2 linked regions of the Notamacropus eugenii genome follow. The protein of the gene in region 1 purifies or fractionates together with the protein of each later gene. This does not show direct contact. Links are inferred from orthologs where the notes say so. Each region holds a gene or a part of one and is shown on either strand. Other genes may lie near its edges.

The links. The genes of interacting proteins can lie anywhere in the genome.
Region 2: the proteins of MCMBP (region 1) and MCM3 purify together in Homo sapiens (affinity purification with mass spectrometry; 10 studies listed by BioGRID and IntAct, counting the BioPlex papers as one, with this or other methods). This does not show direct contact. The link is inferred for Notamacropus eugenii from reciprocal best matches to the Homo sapiens genes MCMBP and MCM3.

What each region holds. Positions count from the first base shown.
Region 1 is NC_092872.1:200,041,819-200,049,210, forward strand, and holds the start of MCMBP (mini-chromosome maintenance complex-binding protein), read right to left. Parts: upstream 3,020-7,392; 5' UTR 2,618-3,019; coding exon 2,560-2,617; intron 1-2,559. UniProt on the Homo sapiens protein: Associated component of the MCM complex that acts as a regulator of DNA replication.
Region 2 is NC_092873.1:118,548,503-118,556,138, reverse strand, and holds the start of MCM3 (DNA replication licensing factor MCM3), read left to right. Parts: upstream 1-4,575; 5' UTR 4,576-4,810; coding exon 4,811-4,888; intron 4,889-7,636. UniProt on the Homo sapiens protein: Acts as a component of the MCM2-7 complex (MCM complex) which is the replicative helicase essential for 'once per cell cycle' DNA replication initiation and elongation in eukaryotic cells.

The DNA of each region.
Region 1 (7,392 bases):
TACTAGCTACTAGAAAGGCTTTAATTTTGGACAGAAATGTGGGCACTGAGGCAATAATTCACTTAATTCTGAAGGGGAATGGAACGGTTATAACCTGAGTTACAGGGATTTTCCAACTTTGGATACCTTCCTCAATCTAGATCATACATACTGATAATGACTTTTTTTAAGGTCTAAAGGAAATATCTTAAATATGAGATTAATCACACCATCTGGCAAATACAACCCCAAATCTCTACTTAAGACATAAATTCATTAATTGAAGATGGGGGGATGGGGACAGACCTGTGATGTCAAAAGAGTGAAGGACATTTATTGAGGAAAAAACTCACTATCAATGCAGGTCAATAAATGGGTTATTATTTTGCAATTTAATGATCTTAGAGAGTTGCTGGGGTAACTTAGAAGTTGTGACTTGCCTAGGATCAGAGTTCTTGCATCTAGGTCTTTCAGATTCTTGAGGCTGGGCTCTTTTGGGTTAAATATAGGAATGTGAAGATAAAGCATTGAATAACAGATAGTAGACTGGTCCTGGAATTGGAAAGACTTGGGTTCAGGTACATCCTTTGATACATACTAGCTCTGTGACCCATGGGAAAGTCCCAGAAGCTAACTTTTTAAGTTGCAGATGTAGTTCACTACAGTGATAAAACTGCAGGTTAAGGACCAAGAAAAAAAATTACCATATTTACTCCAGGGGTGAGGAATCTGCAACCTCAAGGCCACATGTGGCCCTCTAGGACCTCAAGTGCGGCCCTTTGACTGAATCCAAACTTTCTGTTCAGTATTCCTGCTTGTGCTTACAAGTAAAAATCATTATTTCAAGACTAAAAAGATAGTTACTCTATATTTAGGCACTCATTACTAAAAATAATTCTCTCCTGTCCAGAGACTGACTAGAAATATACCTAATTATTCTCATGCCACATTATCTACGTTAGCAAACATCTATTACTGAAGCAATGTTTTATCACAGCACAAGAAGGAACTGTGAAATTGCCATCCTTCAATAGTGTTAACTGCAAAATATACCAAAAAAATCCAGCTTTTGATTTATTAACATACTAAGACCAATAAGCATGAGTACTGTATTATTCATAACCGCTACACAATAAATAATCCATGGAATTTTAAAAACACTGTTGAACCCTGTTATAAAGCTGATGGCACCATATATCAACACTGTATGCTTTACTATGCTATGAGAAATGCATATCTCTGTGTGACAAAGACAAAATGATTTGAGCAAAGTGTAGCTAAATCTCTGGTACACAGTAACCAATCTAATTTATCCAGAATCCTGGAGAATAAGTATATTATACACACACACAAGAATAGGTTCTTGAAGAATGTGTGTGTATACAAATAAATAATTTGTATAAGGCATTTAAAGACTAACTTAAAAAACAAACAAACCCCATTTTTGGTGGAAATCCTAAAATGAAACACACACTTTCTTCTCTAATTAAATGCAGCATGCTAAAGATAAATCTGTTAACTTTTGCTTTAATTACTCAGGATCACCATTAAGAATATCAACTATTACACTTCTTTATTGGAATGACTCTTAGAGATCCAAAAGCTTAAGACAACAAGTTCCTTCATGAAAGGGCCTCAAATACTCTACTTTGAATTTGTCAGTTTTAAAATAGATTTCTTGCTTCTCCCCTTACTTCAGCTGTTAAGTCTCCCTGTTGTCAGTGCCCCTCAGAGACGTGGAGATGGTGATGGTTTCCTGCTTCTATTCTGTCGTAGACTGGGAAAATGAGTTAGTTGTCCGCAAATTAAAAGTAAATAAATGGTCAACATTCCTCCATCCCCCAAGATCTCCAAATTTGCGGGTTTTATGTCAGTTACTATTTCTAAAATTTACTTCCTACTTCTTGAAGTAGCCCGATAAAGGACGTCCTCAGTGAGCCAGGCAATAGCTGGCATTACATGCTGCTTTACAAACCCTGTCTCAGTCTCCCCAGGACCCTGAGCCTAAGTCCTCGCACAAGCCCCCGCTCTCTTCACGACCACTGCCCCCGTCTGTGGCACCGCAGAATGTTCACACCGGTTTTGTCCTTTTCAACTTTACCCGATTCCCAAGAGCACTGACAGAATGCCTGGCTGGAGTAAAGAAGACTCCACTTCCTGGCTTTAAGAGTGGCCTGGGATCCTAGCCGGGGGACCCTGGGCAAGTCACTTAGCTCCGTTTGCCCCAGCTCCTCTTCTGTAAAACGAGCTGGAGAGGAAACGGCAAAGCCGTGCAGGACCCGCGGGCCGGCCGCCCCGTCTCCCACCAGCCCAGCCCGACGGCACCCGCTGCGGCCTGCGCCAGTCCCGGGCCACGTTCCGGGTCTGGGGGCCCGGGGGCCCGGGAGGGAAGGGAGACAAAGTTCCTGCCCGCTCCCCGCCCCCCGCAGGGGGCAGCCCGAACCGTGCGGCGGCCCCGGGGCCGGGGGGTCGCCCGCCGGGTGGCGGGGGAGGGGGCGCTCGGGTCGCCCCTTCCTCAATCTCCGGGCAGGAAGGACTCCCCCGAATTACCTAGGGTTCCCGGGGGCGCCCCCCACTCACCAAAGAAGCCCTGCACGATGCCGAGCGGATGGTTCAGCCAGTCGTCCCCACACGGCATCTTGCCGAGGGGCGCGCGGAGCGGGCTGCCCCGAGCGGGGCTCCGGGGGCGACGGCGGCGGGCAGAGGGAACGATCGCACGTCCTACCGCCTCCTCCTCCTCCTCTCCTTTCGGGGTCGGCCCAAGCCCCCGGCCGCTCCCTCCCTCGCCCACGCCCACGCCGGGCAAGCGGCAGCGGTCACGGAGCGACACCGCCCGGCCTCGGGCTCGCCCCGCTCCCGGCAGCAGCAACCACGGCAGCGGCGGCGGCGGCAGCTACGAGGCGGAAGCGCCAGGAGCCCCCCTCGCCCCCCGCCTTCCTCTACGCTATGGCGGGAAACGGACGCGCCGACGGCGTCGCCTCTGACCCCCGAGCGCGAGCTGGGGAGGGGGCGGTAGTGCATTCGGTCGCGCTAGGAGGAGGGGCGGGGCGGGGCGGGGCGGGGCTTCCGGGCCCTGGCGGCGGCGTCGCCGTCGCCGCCATTTTGGAAAAGGTCAGAAAAGGAGGGCAAACTGGCGAGGCGGGGCTGGACTGGGGAGAGCCGCGGCAGAAGCTCGATTCCCCGCGCCTCCTCCTCCCGCGGCGGGGCTTGGAGCGGCCACCGTCCGGGGCACCAGAGGCAGGCCCCCTTCCTGTAGCCCCTCCAGCTCAGTCCAGCCTTCAGGCTCTGACGTGACTGGCCGTTGCGAGTAGGGGTCCCTAGGCTTGTCTGTGACTCTGGGAAGATTAAGCAGCTCGCATCTACAGAGTGGGAGACTGAGGCAGCGCTCCTTCCACAGAGGCGCGAGTGCCGGGCACGTTCTCAGGAGCCCTGGGCAGTGCCAGCTGCCTCCTGGTGTCTCTGAAACCTGCCTCCCATACGTTGGAACTAGTGACAGGGAGGTCCAGCAGTCAGGGCTTGCCTCCAGCTGCCCTCGGCCGCTGGTGACCCTAAAGGACGCAGGGACTGAAGCTCCTCAACAGCCTTGTCGGGGTCTGGAATGAAGACAGATTTCACGGGTGGCTACATAGATGGCAAACCTGAGTTAGAATAGATCTAATTAAGGCTCATTTTTATTGCTGTGAAGTCCTGCACTTTATATGCAAACACACACACATGTATGTGTATATATATACATATATTTCTCTATACGGATACATACACTAATTTATATATACTCATTCTGCTTATATGCTGTGCAACACTATGCACTATGTATATTCTACATTAGATATACACATACATGTATATTCACATAATATGTTAAATACACATTTATGTTAAGTATAGAAACACATATATTAAAGTCCTAGTGAGTGAAAATTTGAGCAGAAAAAAGCCTAGGCACCTTGACTAGGTTAAAGAAGGATGCCTTTAAAGGTGGGCTATTTGATGGTGACCATCCTCTATTATGGTCTTAGTACCTACAGTATCTGATACTTAAGTGGTGCTCAACAAATGCTTGTTAGATGAATGAATGAATGAATGCCTTTGATTAGATGTCATTTAGACTTCTTGTGAGATTTTGATCACCCAAATGGTAGGGGTGGGAAGTGACTTTAAAAATCCCAAGAGACTGATCCCTTAATTTTGCTAAGGTACACCATACCTCATGTTTCTACAAATTCACAGATAATCTTTTAAGAGCTATTCAGCTGAATATTTGTCACCTAACAATTAACCCAAGAAAGCATATTTCTGGAGTTAGCTAGATTAGACTTTAGCCAACATCAAATGGCTCTGATTTGTAAAAAGGACTTTAAAACCCTTTAAAACTATGTAAATGATAGCTATTACTATGATGATTATAACAACTGTCACTTCCTTTCTGTCTAGAGAGTACTGGCCAGACTTTTCATTCTGCTGACTGAGCCAAAAAGAACCAGGATTTTTGTTGTTCAGAATAGGACTTCAGCTCTCACCACCTCTTCGTGGCCTCTTCTTTTACTCCCTGGAAATTACTTTGTATTTATTTTCTGCTTTCTTTGTAGGATCATAGATTTAGAGCTGAAAGGGACCTCAGAGACCATATAATCCAGGGGTGGGGAACCTGTGACCTCAAGGCCATATGTGACCCTCTAAAGTTCTCAAGTGCGGCCATTTAACTGAATCCAAACTTCACAAAATCCCCTTAAGAGGATTTGTTCTGTAACGCTTGGACTCAGTCAAAAGTCAGTACCTAAAGACCTAGAAGGTCACATGTGATCTCAAAGCCGTAGGTTCCCCACCCTGATAGAATCCAACTCCTTTGTTTTACAGATGAGAAAACTGAGGCACAGAAGTGTTGAAGTAACAAGGATACATGAATCAGAGGCAGGCTTCAGATTTAGGTTCTCTGACCCTAAGCCAATGTTCTTTCCCTTTTATTCCAATGCTATTTCTATTCATGTTGTTTTCCCTAGTATAATGTAAACTTCTTTAGCAATGGAATTAGTTTATTTCTATCTTTGTATCCCAAGCACCTAACACAGTGCCTGGCAATATTTTCCTCATTTAGAGTTAAATAGTAAAGATCTTAACACATTCATGCCTATTCATGTTGTGTGACTTGTCGTCCCACAATTTTGCCACATACCCAATATGCCAGAACCTTCCTTTCTTTTTTCCCCTCCTTTTTTATCAGATTTTAAAATTTTATTTGCATGTTTTTAATAAACTGTGCATTCTAAGAACTGAAATCATTCAAAAAATTAGCACTGATTAACTGCATTTTATAGCTTCCTCAGGCCTTGTTACAGCTTTGCATTTTTCTCTGTTCACTAGATTTACTGTATTCCCACCCAGACTCTTCTTTCACCAAAGTGCAGGCTCTTTTTATGCCACTTGGACCAAAACTAGCCAGAGAAACAGATGAAAAACCTGCATAACAGTGCCTTTTTTCATTGTTGGTAGTTTTTAAAAATTTTTCTGATATTGAAAGGGGCAGCATGGTCTTTGGAGGTGATAGACAACCACTGGAGTTTACTGAGTAGCAGAATGACATGGCCAGACCTGCATTTTAGAAAAATCACTTTGGCAACTGAATGGAGAATGGAGTGGAGAGAAACTATGGCAGGCAGACCCACTATTGTAAAAGCCCAATTGTGAGATGATGAGGGTCCGCACTAGAGTGGTTGTGTTTGTCTTTCCTTCTTGAACAGGACCATGAATCAAGGTAATGACATGACTTGCAGTTGACTTTGCTTTGAGTGAGGGAGGGCTGTGCAAGTCACCAGCCTCACTTCTCCTCCAGAGCCATCTGAATCCAGCGACCAGATATTCATCAGGATGACTGGAGATGGCCTAGGATGCAACCAGAGACCCTGGCCATTTTAGGTTAAGGTCTTATCAGATTCTCACTTTGAGACACACCCACTCAATGAATGGGCTTCTTTAAGTGGTTACTCAAGAGACCGTCCTTTAATAAAAAAAAAAAAAAAAAAGAATCAAACTGGGAGGGGAAGACCCTCAGGGTTCCTGGGTAAAAGAGAAACAGTTATTATTTCATCTTTATGTTCACTCTGTGCTAGGTGGGTGGGGATCTGTTGTCCAATCATTGAGCTCCAGAGTGAATTGGGTTTAAGGCTTGGTCCTTGAGCAAGAAATCTAGTCAGTAAACTCAAAGGAAAAAAGGCAGCTTTTGGCCCTGGAAATGTATTTTCCCCTGGGTAGAGCACCTCAGGCCAGGACATAGAGGAGGGGAGGGGAGGGGAGAGGAGCTGCCATTCCCTCACAGGTTGTTTGTCCTTCATTCTCGAAGAGGACCATGATGTCAAGATGATAACATGACTTGCAGTTGACTGATTTGAGCGAAGGAGTGCTGTGCAAGGTCACTAGCCTCACTTTCTCCTTCAGAGCCATCTGGAGGAATCTTGTAAAGATGAAATCAACAGGCCTTGACAACAAGTTGGATATGAAAGGCAGGGATTTTTTCCATTTTTTTTTTTTTCGATTTGCATGGTGTGGAGGATGGAGGCCTGGACTCTGGAGTCAAGGGGACCTGACTTCACATTTCATCTCAGACACTTGCTAGCTCTATGACCAGGAACAAATCATTTAACCACTTTGTGCTTTGTTTTCCTCATCTATAAAAAGATGAGGTTGAACTTAATGGACTCAAAGTTCCCTTCCAGTTCTAAATCTATGATCCTAAGATCTTATATATTCCAAAGCACATGACTCTTGAAAAATTACTTTATACCAATGGTGTTAATACTTGTGTTTTCTCCAGTGTCTTATTAAACAAATGGAGATTGTCCCTAATTTGCCTTTTCATAGCCCTGGCAGTTAGGCAGGATGATTAATTTATTTTCTTTCTGAAGCATTACATTTTTTCCAAGAGGTACATTACATTCTTCTTAGAATGCATTGAATTCTTTTATCAGTATAGAATTGCTCTAATTCTTTTTATTTTGTAGCCCAGTTAACTTTTCCAGAAGGGAGGGATATACTGGGAAAGAGATAAAAGAAATTATCTTGCTCCATCAACAACTACTTATGCCTTTTTCCAATTTCTACTCTGAATGGAATAAAGAGAATGTTATTATTTATAGAAAGAAGGGGAAAGGCAGTGGCTAAATTAGGATGGGGTACAAAAACAGAATATTCTGCTCCCTAGATGACTTGACAAAAAATAATTTAGTTAGATCTTTTAACTGTCATTTTCTTCTCTATTAGTAATTATTTTCTAATAGGAAACTTGTAGGCCAGTACAATTTTACTTTAGCCCAGAGTTAATGGTTCTGGACCAGAAATGTTCTAAGCTCCTTAGAACATTCCTGGTTCCAAGTTTGCCATATTACAATCTGATTCTATTTGAAAAAGCCTTGAAACCAT
Region 2 (7,636 bases), on another chromosome or scaffold:
TACTATATATACTAATATATTAGTGTCTTATATATAGTAATATATTAGTATATTATGTATACTAATATATAGTATGTATATTACTATATACAATATATTTATAGTATAGTAAAAAATATTTATATGGTACTTACTCTATGCCAGGCACTATGCTAAACACTTTACAATTATTATCTCTTTTGATTCTCACAACAACCATGGGAGGTAGGTGCTATTATTATTTCCATTTTGCAGATGAGAAAACTGAGGTAAACAGAGGTTAAGTGACTTACCCAAGATCACACAGCAAGTATTTGAGGCTGAATTTGAATTCAGGTATGACCCTGGGCCCAGCTCCATTTGAAACACAATGTTGTTTTTTTTTTTAAAGCCTGTTTTTTCACAGATATATTTCAAGAAACCATAAAAAAAAAAATAAATTGTGCCAGCTTAAAAAAAATAAAAATAGACATGGACTATGTAACTCTGGGCAAATCAGAGAACTATACTGATCTAGTCCTTATCTCTATACTTTCTCCTTCCTCTAGGCAACTTCCAAGATTGGAAGTTGTAAAGAAAGTACCTAAGATTATTCTCCTTATCTGGGAAACTAAATAAATAAACTACCTCCATGCTTTCTCTTTCCCTGGGAATGCTGAAAAACAAAGCGTTACATTATCACCAGTTTTCACAGTATCCAAGATCTTCTCTACCTGCTCAGTATTGTGAGCCTGAAGTTGGATTGGCCTTGAAATATACCAGGTGATGAGAGATCATAAATATGAATAAAAATGGAAATCGGGATACGTAGCAACATATTTTATTGTCCCTCCCTTTTCTTTGAACATAGTAATCAGATCAACAGTAAATAAAATTCATTTCTGCCAGCCTCAGTTTCCTCATCTGTAAAATAGGGATAATAACAGTGATGGGGTGGTGGGACCTAGATCCCAAAAAGCCCTACCACCATGTCTCTGAAAGCAACCCAGCCCCTCCTCTCCCATCCATGAGAAAATTCTCTTCTTATTACAGATACAGACAGAGTTCACCCTGTAATTCCTTAGATAAACAACAGATACAGGGGTGCCTGACCCAAGCACTCTCCCTCATGTCAGATCCCCAAGGTCCATGCCTCTAACAGCTCCCTCAATGTCTGGTATCAACAAAATTATCTCTGAAAAACTCCCTACATTTTCCATAGATTACTGACGCCTGCTCCCATGACACTTGGACCCTTTGCATTACATAATTATTCCTTTCCCATGCCCCTTTTCTATATAAGCTCTAGATTCACCCCCATTAGGTTGTAAATTCTTTAAAGGAACTCTGCCCACTTCTATTGGTATTACAATAAACTGCCTCAACCGAAGGATGGCTTGAGTGTGTGAATTCATTCCAGGCAACCCTGCCTAGGCATTTTTAGGGTCCTAGCACTCCAAATTTCATCAATAGGACCTAGGATTGTTGTGAAGTTAAAATAAGACAATATTTGTAAAACACTACAAACCTTAAAGTGATCTATAAATGCTGGTAGTAGCAGTAGTAACAGCAGCAGCAACAGCAGCATTGCCTCTGGAAAGAATGAACTAGTTAATTGCCCTAAAGATCAACTCAATATCCCTGAGACCACTTTCCTGACCAAAACATCCCTTGGCTACCATTCTCCTATGTGTATTGTTTCACCCTATCACAGGAATTCTAGACCTTTTTTGTATCATAGACACCTTTGACAGATTGGTGAAAATTTATTGACCTCTTCTCAGAATGTTTTTTAATATATTAAAATACACGGGATTATAAAGGAAACCAATTACACTGAAGAAAAGTTATAATTTTTCTCATCCAAATTTTCAGATCCCGTGAAATCCATTTATGGATCCTATAGGAATTGGTGGACCTCAAATTAAGAATACCTGCTGTGTTGGAATATAAACTCCTTGAGAAAAGAAGCTATTTCACTTTTTATATATTTGTATCACTAATGCTTAGCTCTGTTCCTGGTACATAGTAACCATTTACTGATCTTTTCATTCATTTATTCATATCTCATCTTGTATAAAACTGTAAACAGGATCTTGATTCATGAATTGGTTTTTGTTCTCCAGATTGCAAATGTAGAAATCAGACAGTAATCAGATATTAGGCTTTCAAACCATAGTCTTACAGCTAATCAATAAGACCTTAAATATGCAATCATACAGATAGGTTTTTAAATATTTCATAGAAATTAGCTCAAATGATCTTTACAACAACCCCATGAGGTACAATAGATATAATCTACTGTTCAAAGGCCATTTTGTAGAGTTTTATGCAAATAGCCTTTGAGCTACAGGTTACATAGCTCTCAATCCCTCTGAGATGAGGAAAGTGTACTTGGAATTAGTTTAGTTAGGAAGGAACAGATAGTGAGTAGCCGAGCAAGGACTTAATTCTAGTATCCTTCATGTTTGAACTTTGAAGGACAAAAGTATTTATTGTTATATAACTGTAGAAATTGAATTTTAATGAAAGGGTAAACTGAGGTAGATCTCAGAGCAAGGTCATGTTACCTGTCAATAAATGGGTCAGTGGATTGCCTCCATTAATGCCAAACACCTGGAGCAAGAGGACAGATCTTCTTAATACAAGGTTTTGGAAATTACAAAGAGGAGGGTAGATGACATCTTGGGATCATGATTGGTCAAAGAGTTGAGGCACAGGGAACAACATGATTGGTAGGAAATTTGGTAATGGGGGCTAGCATTGACCCCTCTTCTCCTCTCATGATACTAAGAGGTGTTTATTGTCTGAGTGCAGGTGTGGGATAGTGGCTCAGCAAACTAGACATCCTTGAAGGAAAGCTTGGTGGAGTAAGAGTGTCAAGCCCAAACTTCCTTGCATTCTCACACATTCACCAAGATCAGTTAAGTTCCTTGAGGCAGGAGAGCTGTATTTTTAAAGCTAATCTGTTACAGACCAGCTGAACGCTGAATTCAGTTCAGAGACAAAGAACCATGATTGAAGCACTTAGGGGACAAAATCAATTAATTGTAAATAGGATCAATAAGAAAATAAGACAGGATCAATCTTAATCTCCTCAACTTATAGGGATAAATAGCATGAAGCTTACAGAGCACATATTAATAATGTATCCAGGTATTTAAAACATCCGCTATCATCATCATCCTCATCACTAAAGTTTACGTAGTGCCTACTATGTTTCGGGCACTGCGCTTTAGAAACACGTTGTTGTTCAGTCATGTGGACTCTTTGTGACTCCCTTTGGAGTTTTCTTGGCAGAGATACTGGGGGTGGTTTGCCATTTCCTTCTCCAGCTTATTTGACAGATGGGGAAACTGAGGCAGGCAGAAGTTAAGTGATTTGTCCCAGGGTCACACAGATCGTATGTATCAGGTTCTACCTGACCCTATCCAAATGCGCCACCTGCCTGCCACTACTTAGAACTGGAAGGGACCTTGGAGACTTTGTCCAATCCCTTTATTTTAAAAATGAGGAAACAGAGGTTTAGAGAATTTGTGCTTTGCCTCAGGTTACATAGACTGAATTTGAACCCCCGTCTTCCTCATTCCAGCTCTAGCACTCTATCTCCGACACCACGGAGAGCAGCTGCGTGATGGATGTGAGAAGATATTTGCTTTTCATCGATTCTTATACTGAATCAGTCTTGTGATAGAGAGAGAGGAATTTCTGCCTTTCATTCGTATCGGCTGCAGAAATGTGGGAAGACCACTTTAACTCTCGGTGCCCAGGCTGAGTGCACATTACAGAAATGTTGCCCGATTATCCGTGAGGGCAGTTCTGCGGACCTGTGAAATCTCCCGAGTGTGTTGGTAAATGTTGAACTGTGTTTAACTGTGCGTGTGCGTGTGCGTGTGTGCGTGTGTGTGTGTGTGCGGGTGTGTAATGTGCTCATCATTTATTTATTATTATTAAATAAACAAATATTATTTATTTATTATTATTTTTAAATCTGCATTGTTTGACTGTACAAAACTGAAAACAAAATAATTTTTAAAAAATGCATCGTTAACATTCCTTCATCTCTGTCTTGAATTCTAGACAATCAATAAAACAGATCAAGTCCTTCATCTGGAGCATTTGCCGATTTCCAAGTTATTCAGCAGCCAGTTCTGCGGGTAAGGAGCTCGCTCCAGCACATCTCTGGCCGTGTCTACCTGATTAAAACAAAATTAATCAATGATCGTCACTTTTTTTATGTCCCTTGATACCCCCTCTCCAATGTAATATAACATCATTCCCAAACTGTTATAAAAGAAGGCGCAGAACAAGGGATTGACTTTCCCGGTCACAAAGTGAACACAAAGGCGCAGGTGAGACTGGACGACTCGACACAGATAATGTTTTTGTACGTTACCCAGAAGGGAAACAGCTTGAAAGCAAGGTAGCACCAACCACCCAGACTACTAGATTTCTATCATATGGACTACAATTCCCAGAAAGCAACGCGACGTATTTTCGTTGCAGTCCCAACCCTCGGGAGCTGAAAGTCACAAGCTCCGCCCATCGCGCCCTCTGGATTGGCCAGTTACGTTCTTCTTGACTTAAGGGCGCAGGGGAGGGGAGGGGCAAATAGACATCTGTAAGTTTCCCGCCATGAGGACGTATCGGAACGCCAAGGGGAGGAAGGAGCTGCCCATTGGGCACACGTTCTTCCGCCCGCGGAAGTTGCAGCCAATCAGAATCCAACCTGCTTCCGCAGCCGCCTAGGAAGTAACTTTGGGTGGCGGGAAAAGTGAAGTAACTTTCGCGCCTGGGGAGGAGTCAGCGCTGGGGGAGCGAAGAAGCGGAGTCCATTCTGCAGTCTGGAAGCATGGCTGCCACCACCGTGATAGACGATGTGGAGCTGCGGGAGGCGCAGAGAGATTACCTGGACTTCCTGGACGACGAGGTGAGGGCTCCGCGTGTGTGCGTGCGTGTTGGGGGAGGAGGGGGTCAGGGGAAGGCCGTGTGGCCGTTGGCTCCGGCGGAGGCGGGCGCTGGGCAGGGAAGAGGCCCGAGGAAGAGGAGGGTCCTTCTGTCTTCCTCTCGGCCGGCTTGGTTGGAGGGAGCGGGGTCCGGGCCGTAGGTGCGAGCCCAGGCGGGTGGGGGTGGGTGGGAGGGCTCGCCAGGAGCCCTTCACGCCCCCTGTCCCGGACCGTGTGACCCCCCAAAAGCTAGCGTGGGTTAGAGTGAAACCGTGGGCTTCTGTTGGATTCGGGGTGCCGGGATGCTCCAGGCTTTGTTCTCTCGGGGGTGGGGCCGGACAGGGGGTGGGGCTGGGTAGGGTCCACCTGGGAAAAGTTCTTGTCTGCGATCTTTGTTGTAGCCAAAACTAGTCTGGAGCTTCTGGCACCAGACACGTGCGTAGTGACTCGTGTCGAATGGAAATAGTTCTTGAAAAATTTCTCGTGGCATTTTTTTGTTTTTGGCATAGACAGCTGTGAACATCACCATCTAAAGAGAGGGAGCACAGACCTCCCAGACGCTGGTGTGCTTTTCCAGGCTGGTGTTTGTTTTGTTTTTGGCAGGGAGGCAGGGTGGAGGAGAAGATGCTTGTCCTGGGTGTTGTGTTTACTTAATCCAGATAAATAAGAAATCATGTTTATCTGTCAAGTGGATTAGCTTGTCCTGTCGAGATGGCTCCCCCACCTAGGCAGTGCTGGTTGACGAAGACTGTCTTCCTGTAAATAACGGGGTCTATCTGATTTCTCAGTAAGTTGGGAATCAGTACATGAAGATCCCTAAGGGGATAGCCTGGCCCTAATACTTAAACCAGGGGAGGATAAAGTAAAGAGAACTATACATCAGTATCGTTAATGAGTATTGGTTATAATTTTAAAAATTTTTAGCAAAAAAAGTGGTACTATATAAAAAAATTAGTCATTGTGAACAAGTTAGCATTCTACTATGGATGCAAGGATGATACAGAATTAGAAAAGCAATTAATAGTCGTTCATATTAAAAACAAAACCACTGTAAACTACAGGATTGTATGAATAGATGCAGGAAAAGCCTTTGAGGAAGTGTATCATTTATTTATGCTAAAAATTCTACGTCATAGACCTTGAAGGGTTATTTTTAATAATGAAATCATTTCTAAAATCATTTGCAATGGGAAAACACAGAAACTTTTCCTTATTCCATGTTAGGTCAGAAGATAAAGGATGATATTATCTAAATTAATTTGCAGACTTAATACTTTGCCAAATCAATTACCAAGGGGATACTTGACAGAGGTAGGCAAAATAATAATAAAAATCATTTGGAGGAATGAAAGATTCAGAATCTCAAAGGAAATAATGAAAAAAATAAGAGTGAAGGGTATTACTTCTAGACCTTTGGTTTTGCTGTGAAGCAGTAATCATTGAAACTATTTGGTATTGGTTAAAAAAATTAGAAAAGTAGATTGATAGAACAAATTGAAAAAAGAAGAATGAAAAACAATTGAACTTAATAACCCAGAAGAGATAAATTACTTGATAAAGAATTCCATATTTGAAAGAATTGTTGGGAAAACTGGAAAGCAGATTGGCAGAAATTAAATCTAGAGCACCATCTTAGACAATAATAAGGTAAAAATGAATGTGCAACTTGAATGAAAGGTAATACTCTAAAAGGCAAATGAAAGGTGATATAAAAATTTAGATGACAGGTTAAGTTCATTTCACTTCTGTGACTAGGATAAGAAGATCTTCCCCCCCCCCCCCACCAAACATGGAAGGAGTATACAGGTGATCATATAACATAAAATAGATAAAACCTTTTTCACAAAGAAAATCCATGTAACTTGGGTAAAAAGGAAAGTGTTGGATTGGGGGAAAAGCCTTTGCATTACCTATAGAGATCTCTAAGGGTCCTGGATATACAAAGAACCAATGCAAGTACGTCAGGCCAAGAATCATTTATCATTCGATATGATCAAAGAATATGAACAGTTCTTAGAAGATTTACAAGCTGTTAATGAACTTGTGAAAGATTATTTCAAGTCATTAATAACAAGAGAGATGAAAGTGAAAGCAACTCAAATTTCACTTCACCCAGGAAATTGGCAAAGATCACAGAAGATGCAAATAGTCCATGAAGCTGGGCACATTAATACCTTTTTTTATGGAACTATATATGGGTCAAACTGTTCAATAAAGTAATCTGGAATTCAAAGAAAGTGACTGAAATATTCCTACCCTTTGAGAACCTCCTGGGTACATACTCTGATGTCAGTGATAGAAAAGCACATATACCAAAAACATAGAAAGTAGATAATCATCAAGTAGGGATTGGCTAAACAAATTGTTGTATGATGAATGTAATAAAATGTGGACATGTAAGAAGTGTGATTTGAAGAATGAGAAGGTTAAGGTTCCAGAATGAGATAAAGCAGAACCAGGAAAACAACCTCTATATCTATTTATATATAGTGTAATGGTGTAAATGGGAAGAAAGATAATAAAATAAAAGTAAGAGATAATAAAAAAAGAAACTGAATGCTATATAACATAATGATTAAAGCTGGTCCTAGAGCAGAGATTTTTAAAAATTGCCTCCTTCATAGAGACTTCATCCAATTCCAATCATCTTAACCTTCCTCCACCTCTTGAAAAGGCAAGCAGTATATTGATTATACATATGAAGTCATGCCACACATTTTCCGTATTAGCCA